Linked DNA regions of Callithrix jacchus. The protein of the gene in region 1 interacts with the protein of each later gene in a pairwise test. Links are inferred from orthologs where the notes say so. Each region holds a gene or a part of one and is shown in the gene's direction. Other genes may lie near its edges.

The links. The genes of interacting proteins can lie anywhere in the genome.
Region 2: the proteins of HTT (region 1) and PPA2 interact in binary tests that used the Homo sapiens proteins (3 or more experiments, as listed by UniProt). The link is inferred for Callithrix jacchus from reciprocal best matches to the Homo sapiens genes HTT and PPA2.

What each region holds. Positions count from the first base shown.
Region 1 is NC_133504.1:190,018,217-190,023,521, reverse strand, and holds part of HTT (huntingtin), read left to right. Parts: intron 1-1,857; coding exon of another isoform or gene 1,858-1,896; coding exon 1,897-1,981; intron 1,982-2,239; coding exon 2,240-2,358; intron 2,359-3,191; coding exon 3,192-3,303; intron 3,304-3,544; coding exon 3,545-3,682; intron 3,683-4,549; coding exon 4,550-4,708; intron 4,709-4,800; coding exon 4,801-4,898; intron 4,899-5,305.
Region 2 is NC_133504.1:91,980,578-91,986,602, forward strand, and holds the start of PPA2 (inorganic pyrophosphatase 2, mitochondrial), read left to right. Parts: upstream 1-2,256; 5' UTR 2,257-2,268; coding exon 2,269-2,446; intron 2,447-6,025.

The sequences.
Region 1 (5,305 bases):
TCTGAGTGGCTAGGATTACACGTGTGCACCATCACACCTAGCTAATTTTTGTATTTTTAATAGAGGTGGGGTTTCACCATGTTGGCCAGGCTGTTCTCGAGCTCCTGGCCTCAAGTGATCCACCCACCTTGGCCTCACAAAGTGCCGGGATTACAGTTGTGAGCCACCATGCCTGGCCCTGCCATCTGCCGTCTTTTGAGATCTTCCCTGGAGACCCAGACCTGAACCCTCCTACTTGTTCTCTTCTTGTCTAATACCCCTAATGACAGTGCAGCTTAGACCATTAATGGAGAGCTTGACCTCATCTGGTACCTTCACTGAAGGAAACAGCTTAGTGTCTTTTGTGTTGAACACTGAGGTAAAAAATTGGATTAGTTGATTATATGAACTCTGCTAAAATTGAGTGCATTTTACATTCTTTAAGGCCTTATTGGGCCCTGGTTAAATAATTTTTTTTAAAAATCCTTTAGGAGCCTATTATGAACAGATCTATGGTCTTAATGAAATGTGATTAATAGTGTGCATTATTTTAAGCACTTTTGACTTCTCAGAAAACTTTTGCAACATGTCCCATTTTATAGTAGCATAGGTTTAAGTACCTCTGGTCTCTGAGTTAGTGGACAAGAAACCCTTATGGATAGTCTAGTGAAGTTTGGTACAAGTCTATATTGAGTTTCATACTTCATTTTTTTTCCAGTTTTAAAAATTGTGGTTAAATAGGAATAACATAAAATTTATTTTCTTAACCATTCTTTACGTTGGTATTCGATCCGTTTAAATAATGTCCTGGAATCATCACTACCATCCGTCTCTGTAACCTTTTCATCATGTAACGCTGAAACTCTGTTCCCGTTGAACTCTGTATCTTCTGTCCCTGCCACATCCCTGGCAACCATTCTTTCTGTCTTCCGAATTTGACTCCTTTAGGTTCTCGTATACTTTAGGAGTCACACAGTTTTTGTGCTTTTGTTACTGACTTGTTTCACTTAGCATACATAGTGTCCCAAAGCTCATCCATGTTGTAGCCTGTGTCAGAACTTCCTGATGTTTCAGGCCAAATACTATTCTGTTCTATGGATAGACCACATCCTGCTTTTCCATTCCTCTGTCCGTGGATACTTGTATTGCTTTCACGTTTTAGCTATTGTGACTCATGCTGTTACGAATGTGGGTATACAGATATCTGTTGGAGACTCTGCTTTCCATTTTTGTGGCTAAATACCCAGAAATGGAGTTGCTATTACATCCCAATTTTAATTCAAAAATTCGCATCAAGTGTTTTATCTAATAGTATAGTAGTTAACAAGCTAATAAAACAATATTTTGGTAATTTGCTGGTAGTTTTAGAAGTCCATCGCTCAGTTTTTTAAGGTCAATTACACAGGACATTTCAAGTGGATGTGAAACATCCTGTGATGTAGACTCATGTCCCAAACTGATGGCTATACATACGAAATACCATGCCCGAAATTTAGTAGATGTAGTCTCTGCAATTTAGGAGATAACCTGTTACATCGTTAGGTTTTTGTCTAAAAGCTTTGTCCTCATATTTCCAGCTTGCTGTAAAATTTGTTTGTGAAGACAAATGTTTTTGTATGGGCTTTTTCTTTATTATATTAAAAAGAAATTTCCACATTGGAATTTCTCGAGCTATCAAAGCTTTTCATAATGTTGTGGTAAGGAGTGATCATAAACAGTTTCCACACTTGCATTTCTGTCCATTTGAATAGATGACAGATGAGCGCCCTTGTGTTCTATGTGTAAAACGTGCTCTTTCATCTTGCCTTTCCATGTTGGAGGGCTTGTCCCTTGGCGATCACACTTCAGAATTCTCACAGCCCCCCTTGAACTGTTTAGGTGTTAGACGGTGCTGACAACCAGTATTTGGGCCCGCAGATTGGACAGCCCCAGGATGAAGATGAGGAAGCCACAAGTGTCCTTCCTGATGAAGCCTCGGAAGCCTTCAGGAACTCTTCCATGGGTATGTGGACTCCAGGTGATGTGCTACAACGTGGTCTCGTATTCAGCCCTGGACATCTTAATTGCATCTTTGCTTCCAAGAAGAAATCCGTTGATATCGTTTTCCGAGTTCTGAATAGCTGATGAAAATGACCAATTTAGGAATAATCATACTTTTTCTTGATCTAAATCCTATACTTTCGAGTTATCTTAGCATAAATGTATAATTGCATTGTATGTGGAAATTTGCCACTTAATCTTGATTTCTCTGTTTTTAAAGCCCTTCAACAAGCACATTTATTGAAAAACATGAGTCACAGCAGGCAGCCTTCTGACAGCAGTGTTGATAAATTTGTGTCGAGAGATGAAGCTACTGAATCGGGTGATCAAGAAAGCAAGGTGAGGGACGTAGGCTTGAGACACTTTGGTGTTTCTGAGCTTGCGTGAGGATTTGAAGTCGCCCTGGCTACCGTCTACTTTATTGCTTTCCCATCCCTGGGATTTAAAATTTCCCCTTTAAATACCAGCTCTTCCCAGGCCTGTTATTTTCACCTCTCCAGGTACTACCCACAGCCTGAAGAGTTGCCTGAGTTCTGCCTCCTTTGAGAGTGTACCCCAGAGAAATCGGTTCTGTACTGAACGTTTCCTTGTCTGATTTCTTGGACCATTCATTTGATCGTTGTGTGTGGCCTTGCAATGGTTCTTGTTTTGGTTCTATTGAATTGTTTTAAAAGTCTCTCTTTATATTATCTTTTTACATGTGAATGTAATGGTCTTCACTTTGAATTCCTCAAGGGCAAGAACTAGGGTTTCACAGTCAGTCCCATCTACCAGGCCACTTCATCTTATCTTCCGGCTTCCCCAGGCTGTGTCCTTTCCCCAAGTAGTTTCTGCTTGTCCAGTAGAAGACCACTCACTCATGCTTTGCTTTCAGAGCAGGCTTTCCTGAATGCCTGGTCTTGGCTGCCTTCTTACCATGCCCACCCTCCCTGCATGCTGTGTTCATCCCCTGCCACAGCCCTGTGACCCAGTGTCCTGCTGCCTCTGGCTTGTCTGTTTCTGCTTGGCCATGGTCTCTGTGAGGTCAGGTGTGCATATGGGCACAGACCAGGACATTTCTTTATCCCCAGCACCCAGCGTAAGTGCTGCTCAAGAACTATTTGTTGAATGGACTAATGCATGAATGTATTGGTTGAGTATGAGACAAACAAGTGTCACTGTCTCCTTTCTAGCCTTGCCGCATCAAAGGTGACATCGGTCAGTCCACCGATGATGATTCCGCACCTCTTGTCCATTGTGTCCGCCTTTTATCTGCTTCGTTTTTGCTAACAGGGGGAAAAAATGGTGAGTAAAATAGGGCAAGTACGGAGTTGGAGGAAATAACCAGGTTTCAGAGGTCAACCTCATGGCCTGCTTTTGCCTTGTGTGCCCCAGAGGCAGTGGAAACTGGGGGTGAGTTTTGTTTTCACTAACTGAGGGGAAAGGAAGAAATGATGGGAGCAGGTGGGTTATTGGGTCTAGCTTTGCTCATTTGAAAACTGTCTGTTGTTTGAGCCTGAGAGTGGCTTGGGTGATTTCTTGGCAGTGCTGGTTCCGGACAGGGATGTGAGGGTCAGCGTGAAGGCCCTGGCCCTCAGCTGTGTGGGAGCGGCTGTGGCCCTCCACCCGGAGTCTTTCTTCAGCAAACTCTATAAAGTTCCTCTTGACACCGCGGACTACCCGGGTATGTTAAAATTTGCATCTTTTTCTCAGATTTAATCATCATTGTAACAACTATTGCAGTATTGACTATTTGAGTTTTAGAGCAGTAAATGTTTTGAGTTTATTTGGGGTATTTGACCTGCATTGTAGCTCTTCCAAAAACTTATGAATAGTAAGTTCTTAGTTGCATTGGTTCCCTTTAGATGAAACCCATAGAGACAAAAATAGAAACCTGGGCATGTAAGAGCCAATTTATATACACATCGGGTTTAAACCTAAAACACAAATTGTGCATGGTCACAGTTGAGCTGGGTCGTACTGAGCCAGGCCAAGCATTCACACTTGGGGGACTGGCAACCAAGATGGGCTGAGGTAGCAATGGACCCGTGTCTCTACCGCACGTGTGCTCGTTATGGAGCAGACATCATCCTCCAGCCTTATCTTTCTCTCTTTTTCTTTGGATGAGAGGGTACACTTGTACTTTTGAATTTATATTAGGTAAGTGTGTAATAGTTAAGGTTTTTACTAATCTTTTTAAAGTGAAATCTGGAATTTTGATTATTGTCTGACAACCTAGAATTATAATCCAGAGAGTCTGTTGTATTGAGGATATATTGGCAATATGATGACTCTGTAATTTTTAAATCCTGAAACGTTTTTTCTATCACTTATGGTTATTATAGTGAAGTCATTTCTGAATTTGGGTCTTCTCTTCACACCTCTTTTTCTCTTTCCTGAGAATCAAGCTTTTGTTTTGAGTTAGAAAGTTGATGGTGGGGAACTGTTCCATGGGGGGGCACTCTGTTTCCACAGAGATCAAGCTTTTGTTTTGAGTTAGAAAGTTGATGGTGGGGAATTGTTCCCTGGGGGGGGCAATCTGTCTCCACAGAGGAACAGTATGTCTCAGACATCTTGAACTACATCGATCACGGAGACCCACAGGTTCGAGGAGCCACTGCCATTCTCTGTGGGACCCTCGTCTGCTCCATCCTCAGCAGATCCCGCTTCCACGTGGGAGAGTGGATGGGCACCATTAGAACCCTGACAGGTAATGGCCGGTTTTTCAGCTGTGTTTTTTCTAAATCTCATGACCAAGTATTAAGTTTCCATGATGACGTTGCTCCTTGTTGTTCTGCTTAGGAAATACATTTTCTTTGGCGGATTGCGTTCCTTTGCTGCGGAAAACATTGAAGGATGAGTCTTCTGTTACTTGCAAGTTGGCCTGTACAGCTGTGAGGGTGAGCATAATCTTCTCTGGAAACCATTTCTTCAATTAGTGGACACTTTATCATCACTAAAATTAAAATTGGAGCCTAATAGGAAATATTTCCATATACTCTGAAGCTGCACACAGTAATACCCACCATGTATCCATCTCTCAGCTTTAGAAGGAAAACATTGCCGATCAAGTTAATGCTCAGTAAACTTGTTTAAGTTTTAATTCTCAGAATATTTGTTTGAAATAGACCTTTTCCTAAAGGATATATTTACAAATAACCTGTCATTAAGTCTAAAGTCTTTTGAATACACTGGGCACGGTGACTTACGCTTGTAATCTGAGCACTTTGGGAGGCCAAGGTGGAAGAATTGCTTGAGCCCAGGAGTTCAAGACTATGGCAATGTAGTTGGACTCTGTCTCTACAGA
Region 2 (6,025 bases), about 98 Mb from region 1:
TTTAAGACCCAAAGATCATTAGAAATTAGCCCACAACCTTGCCTCCATAGGAATTAGACTTATTTAAATATCTGATCTGCAAAAGTTAATAGAAAAATTAAGCTTATTTTCCAATATAAACAATAAAATTACACAACTCTGTGACATATGCACAAAAGAGATTTTCTCTCCCTTTTTATGGAGCTTTTGCCTTATAGTTATGCCTATTCAAGTTGACACATTTCAAAGCTACCACTGTTGAGAAAACATTTTAGGATCTATAATCTAAATAGAAAGCCTCTAAGTAGCCAGTCACAACATCTCCTAGAGATCCTTTCTGGAACCTGGGTAGACTAGTCTCCCAATTTTAATGATCACAATGCTGAAAGAACCTGGGTGTCCAGTAGGAAAGTGGTCTAGTTGATGACAGTCTCAAAGAAGACAGACTAGAAAGAAAAAAAATGACATTTGTGGCAGACTACTGGTTGTCCTACAATATCCATTCTCTCCTTCTTCCTCAGTAGTATGGCTCCCAATTGTTATATAGGGCTATCACTACTCAGAATAAGGTTTGCTAGTTTATAGTTTGTGGTAGCCGTTAGACTAAGTGCTGTCCAATGGGATGCAAGTAGAAGTGATACAAGTGATTTGTGAGCAATGTTCTCAAGGGAAGGGGTACAACCTTCTTCTCTTCGGTCTGTCTGGCAGGTGGAATGAGGATGTAATGTTGGAGCTATGGTAGCTATCTTAAATTACGAAGGTGACCTTAGCAATAGAGGTCAAGCACATAAGAGCAATAAGACAGATTCACTTGATTCCCTCCTACAAGATTTCTCCACTACAGAGCCATCTTGGTATCAGCTTTCAGATCTTTGCAAGTAAATGCTGGTTTTAAATATCTTGTCTAATTTCTTGTTAACCATATTGTGTTGTTTGTAGCCATAGAACAGAGAAGTTAACTAGTGTAGTATCAAATTTGCAATTCTAACTTAATTACTTAATTAGTTAACATAATCTATGTAAAGGATGTAAGTCTTCCCTTAAAGGGCCTGGATTTTAAGTTAGAATTATATTTTTATAAATTTATGTATTGTGCTTATTAAAATCTCATAATCTAATTTTTACTGTAGTATTTCAAATCAGGAGATAATTTTTTAATGCCTTCTTTTAATTAAAATAATTTCACTTTGTTTTTTCAAATCCATAAGCACACATTTCTTTGCCTCTTTCTATAAAATTGCTACTCTTCTAGCTCTCACTTTTATGTATTGAGTAACTGATACATTTAATTTTTAAAAAGTTTTAGTTTGTAATTTATAAAATCTTATTTACTTCTATCTTCTGGATTCTTTCACTCCTATTTACTGTGATAATTGACTTTTATCAATTTTATTTGACAACAAGGAGGTCATCTGATGACCTTGGGAAGGTGGAGGAAACCTTCTGGATTGACATGAGGGAAGAATATGAAGAAATGGAGACAGTGACTGTGGACAATTCTTTTAACAATTTTTTCTGGAAGGCTCCATAACCAGAAATTTCTAAGGTGATGAGAAAGACTTAGCAGAGAGGGAATTTCAGAAGCCATAAAGAAACCGTAATTATATGCCAAGCATGGTGCAACATCCTGCGGGGATACTACGTTTCAAGTCTTCAGTGCATGGTCAACTACCATCTAGCTGGCAGGTCAAGGTGAAATAGGGAACATAAGTTCACAGTTATACAGGTATGGTATCAAATACCACTGGAGAAATGAAAATGTAAGAGAAAGGATAAATCACCTCTACTGGGTTAGAAAACGGCCTCATGAAGAAGATGGCATTTGAATACGCTACTTAGGGTTTTTTGCTGTATAAGTCGGTGTCAAGGTCACGTTTTCACGTGGTGGCCTGATCATTTTGTCTTATAGTGATGTCTGTGTGCGTATGCGCTCATCTCCGATGTTGGACAGGGTCTAGAGCAGTTCCCGGTACAGAGTAATCACTCAGTATTACATTACTCTAATAAATCATGATAGTAAATCTTGAAGGGATAAATGAAGTCATGAATAAATGTATGAATTAACGAGTGGCAGTGAGCGTCTCAGGAGTGGTGGGCCCTTCTTTGAGCCGCAGCCTCGCTGAAGGTACAGTGCGCACAACTGGCTGGTGGCCCAGATTCCACTAAGGACCGGGATTGCAGCCCAAGCTCCGGGGTAGGAGGGACGACTCCAAGCGGTAGGGGGCGCCGGCGCGGACGGGCAGGGCCCTCAAGAACCTCCGCGCGCAGAGCCGGACCGCCATCTACGCCATGAGCGCGCTGCTGCTGCTGGTGCTGCGCGCGGGCCGCGGTTGGCGCGCGGGTGTCCCCGCCGCGGCCTGCCTGCAGTTGGCGACTAGCGCCGGGACCCAGCCGCGCCGTGCTATGGCCCAGTACCACACCGAGGAGCGCGGAGAGCCCTGCTCGCATAATTACCGCCTCTTCTTCAGTAAGTAGTTCGCGCAGCTTCGCCGCGCCGCGCGCCGGAGAAACCTGGGTGGGGGATGGAGTGGGGGACACTTGCAGCGCCCTGCGCGGTTTCCCCTCTCTCTCTTTGGGGTCCTCGGCGGTCACCCCGCGCTCCAGCCCCGCGAGATCATGCGCCGAGTCAGGAGAACGGCCAGAGAGTAGGCGGCGGATCCAGACGCCAAAGCGGAACGCCGGGGCGCAGGGCAGCCGGCGGCCGGCGGCCGGGGGAGGGAGACAGCACCCTGCACCCTGCTAGCCGCCCACCCAGAGAGGTGGGCAGAGTGCGAGCGTTCACCCCGCGGCGGCCAGCAACGGTTAGCAGGGCCCGGCGGCGGTTCTCAGTTCCCACAACTTAGTGAGGAAAGGAGGGCAGAGTCCGCCCACCGGCTGGCCTTTCTGGTGGCGTAATAAAGCCGTGAGAAAGCTCCTCCTTCCGGGAGCTTCCTGCTGTCGGAGAAGCAAGCGGAACTTTGCAGTGTCTAATCCAGCGTTTTGGAAAGATCTGATAAAGGTTATTTCCCAGAAGCATGACTTGATACGCACAGGTTTACACCCTGAGTGTGATCACGATCAAAAGCCTTGCTGGCTCCAGGGCAGCCCCTTCTTCTCCACAAGTTGGGCAAGCCTAGAGTGCTAAGCGACTTGCCGGGTCCCTGAGCTGCCCAGTTCAGGGAAAAGACCCAGGTCTTCGTGACTCATTGTTCGGTGTACTCCAGTGTTTCACTATGTACGTTAACTGTACCTGGAAATAGCGATCTTGGTCGCTTGCCTTCACGCCCCACTGACTGCAGAGCCATGGAGTGGTAGTATCTAAGTGGGCCTTGCATTATCGCTCCCCTGTTGGGAGCACTGGCTCTGGAGGCTTTCACTTCTAAGCTGGCCCTCGAGTTCTTCATCTGACCCCGAACGACTTTAAGTTTCTAAGCCTTGTTTTTTCTCATCTGTAAAATAGGGATGCAAGAATTACATGACGTTGTATATATAAAGTAATTAGTCACAGGGCCTAAAATAGAAATCACTATTAGTGATACCTCTACGCATTATAGACATTTGTACTGTAAGAAAGATTTGCAGTTATCCTACAAGAGGCTAGGGTCGAGGATTATTTTCTGGGAGCGAAGACGACCTTGCCTAAAGTCTTCTGATTATAATGCAACTAGTACTAGAATTTTTATCTTTTTTAAAATTGGTTTCAGTTTTCACCCTATGCCACATATTTTCTTCTATCTTCATTTGGTTAAGATTAATCAGGTGAACAGGAAGTATCAAATTTCTCAGTGGATTGTGTTCCAAAAGGTTACCATGTGATGATTAATGGGAATAGTCATAGAAACAGTGTTACAAAATGGCAGTTCCCTTTTGTTGTTGTTGTTGTTGTTGAGACAGAGTCGCACTTGTTGCCCAGGCTGGAGTGCAGTGGCGTGATTTCGGCTTACTGCAACCCCCACCTCCGGCGTTCACGCAATTTGCCGGTCTCAGCCTTTCGAGTAGCTGGGATTACAAGCACATGCCACCACACCTAGCTAATTTTTATATTTTTAGTAGAGACGAGGTTTCATCATATTGGTCAGGCTAGGCTTGAACTCCTGACCTCAAGTGATCCGCCTGCTTCGGCCTCCCAAAGTGCTTTTTAAGTAGATTTTAAAAAGCGTGTCTACTGCAAGTATTCTAGATTTGCAAGAAGTACAGCAATTAATGATAGATACCCAAATAATCAATAAATATTTATGAAATGTTCTAGAGACTGTATAGAGGAGATTTAGTTTTGGGAACTGCCCTCAGGAGATTCACAATATTACTATTAATTAACACACTGGTTGAGGAAAAACAGGCTTCAGAAGCCTGGAGCACACCGAGTACTTTACCCAGCACTGGATTTGGAATGGGGAGTCCAAGTCATAATCATGGCTCTGCCATTAACTTGCTGTGTGCTGTTAGGTGGGTGATTACTTCAGTTCTTTCTGCTGGAGCCAGTTTATTCAGCTGTAAAATGAAGCATTTGACTTTGAACGTTGATCCTCAAGGTCCTTCTCAGCACTGGTATTCCCTGAAGGCAGTGGATGAATAACAGAGATTCGAATAATCTCTATAAGGACAGGATCTCTAATGGGGCATTTTGAGGATTATTAACTTGCTGTGTCCTGTTGGGTGGGTGATTACTTTATTTCTTTCTCCTGGAGCCAGTTTCTTCAGCTATAAAATGAAGCATTTGACCTTGAAGTGATGATCCTCAAGGTCCTTCTCAGCACTGGTATTCCTTGAAGGCATTGGATGAATAATGGAGATTCCAGTAATCTCTAATAGGACAGGATCTCTAATGGGGGCATTTTGGGGATTATTTTGGCCTCTCATTGTTGGTTTGTTTCTTTAGCTGCAAATGTACTTAGGACTCATGATTTTTTTCTGTAACTAGAATGCCGCATATAAAATACTTTTTGCATTCAGTTGGATAAAATGAGCAGAAAAGAAGAAAACCGGTTTTACTAAGATAAATGGGCAAAAATTGGAAGAAAGGGGAGTGTGGTTTTGGAGGGTCCAGATGGTAAGATCCTGATTGGAAGGTGTGTTGGTTAAACAATTTCTGAACTAACCGCCAGATGGCATCACTGGCCAGGACTGTTTACTATTTGCTAGAAGGGGTAGGACAAAGTGAAAGGAAGCCACCCTCGGGCGAATGAGGTAAGGGGAAAGCAATGGACAAATTGTCCTAATTTATAAAGATGGTCACAGATTGGATATTCTTTACTCAGTGTGTCTGTATGCAGTATTAGGGTGGACTAATGTCTCACTTCAAAGAAAAATAAGAGCGTAGTACCACTTGGCCTAAAATTGTTATTCGTGTTACTAAAATGGAATCATTTTCCACATTTCCAAATATATTCCAAGTTTCTGAAATACTACTAGTGCATTGGGAGGCAGAGCATTTTCGAGCTTCATGTCTGTAAATGGTTTCTCTTTACTGTCATTCAGGAAAATCAGAATAAATGATTGAGGTAATACTTAAAAAAAATGATATTAAACTTTGTAGAAACAGTGAGACAGGATGATTAGGGGAAAGAGCATCCTGGTGGGAATCATCAGGTCTCCTTGGTGCCAGCCCTGGTCCTGTTAGTATGTTGCTGTCACTTCACCTCCCTGCACCTCATTTTTTCAAGCCATGGAATGAGAAGATTGAATTATCTGATCATTTTCCAAACTGCTTTAGTTGAACACAAACATCCCATGGGAAATTATTATGTTTTCTTTAAAACAGAAGGTTTCATGGTTTAATGAATGAGAACACTTCCCATTTTATTTCCTTTTTGAAGAGTAACGTGCATATTTAAGTTTTGGAAGATTCTGATGTAACTTGTCCAAAACTTGAATCACAAAAATACTTATTTCTTAGAACATTTGTTAACAGCTTAGTGATACCAGGGATATGATTTCTGTGACTTCCAGAAGTAACTGTGCTGTAACGGTTCTAGACTAATAGTTAAACCACTTACGTTGTAGTCCTGATTTTACCATCTTGGACAAGTCACTCAACTGAATTAACCACCAGATGGATGCCTTACCT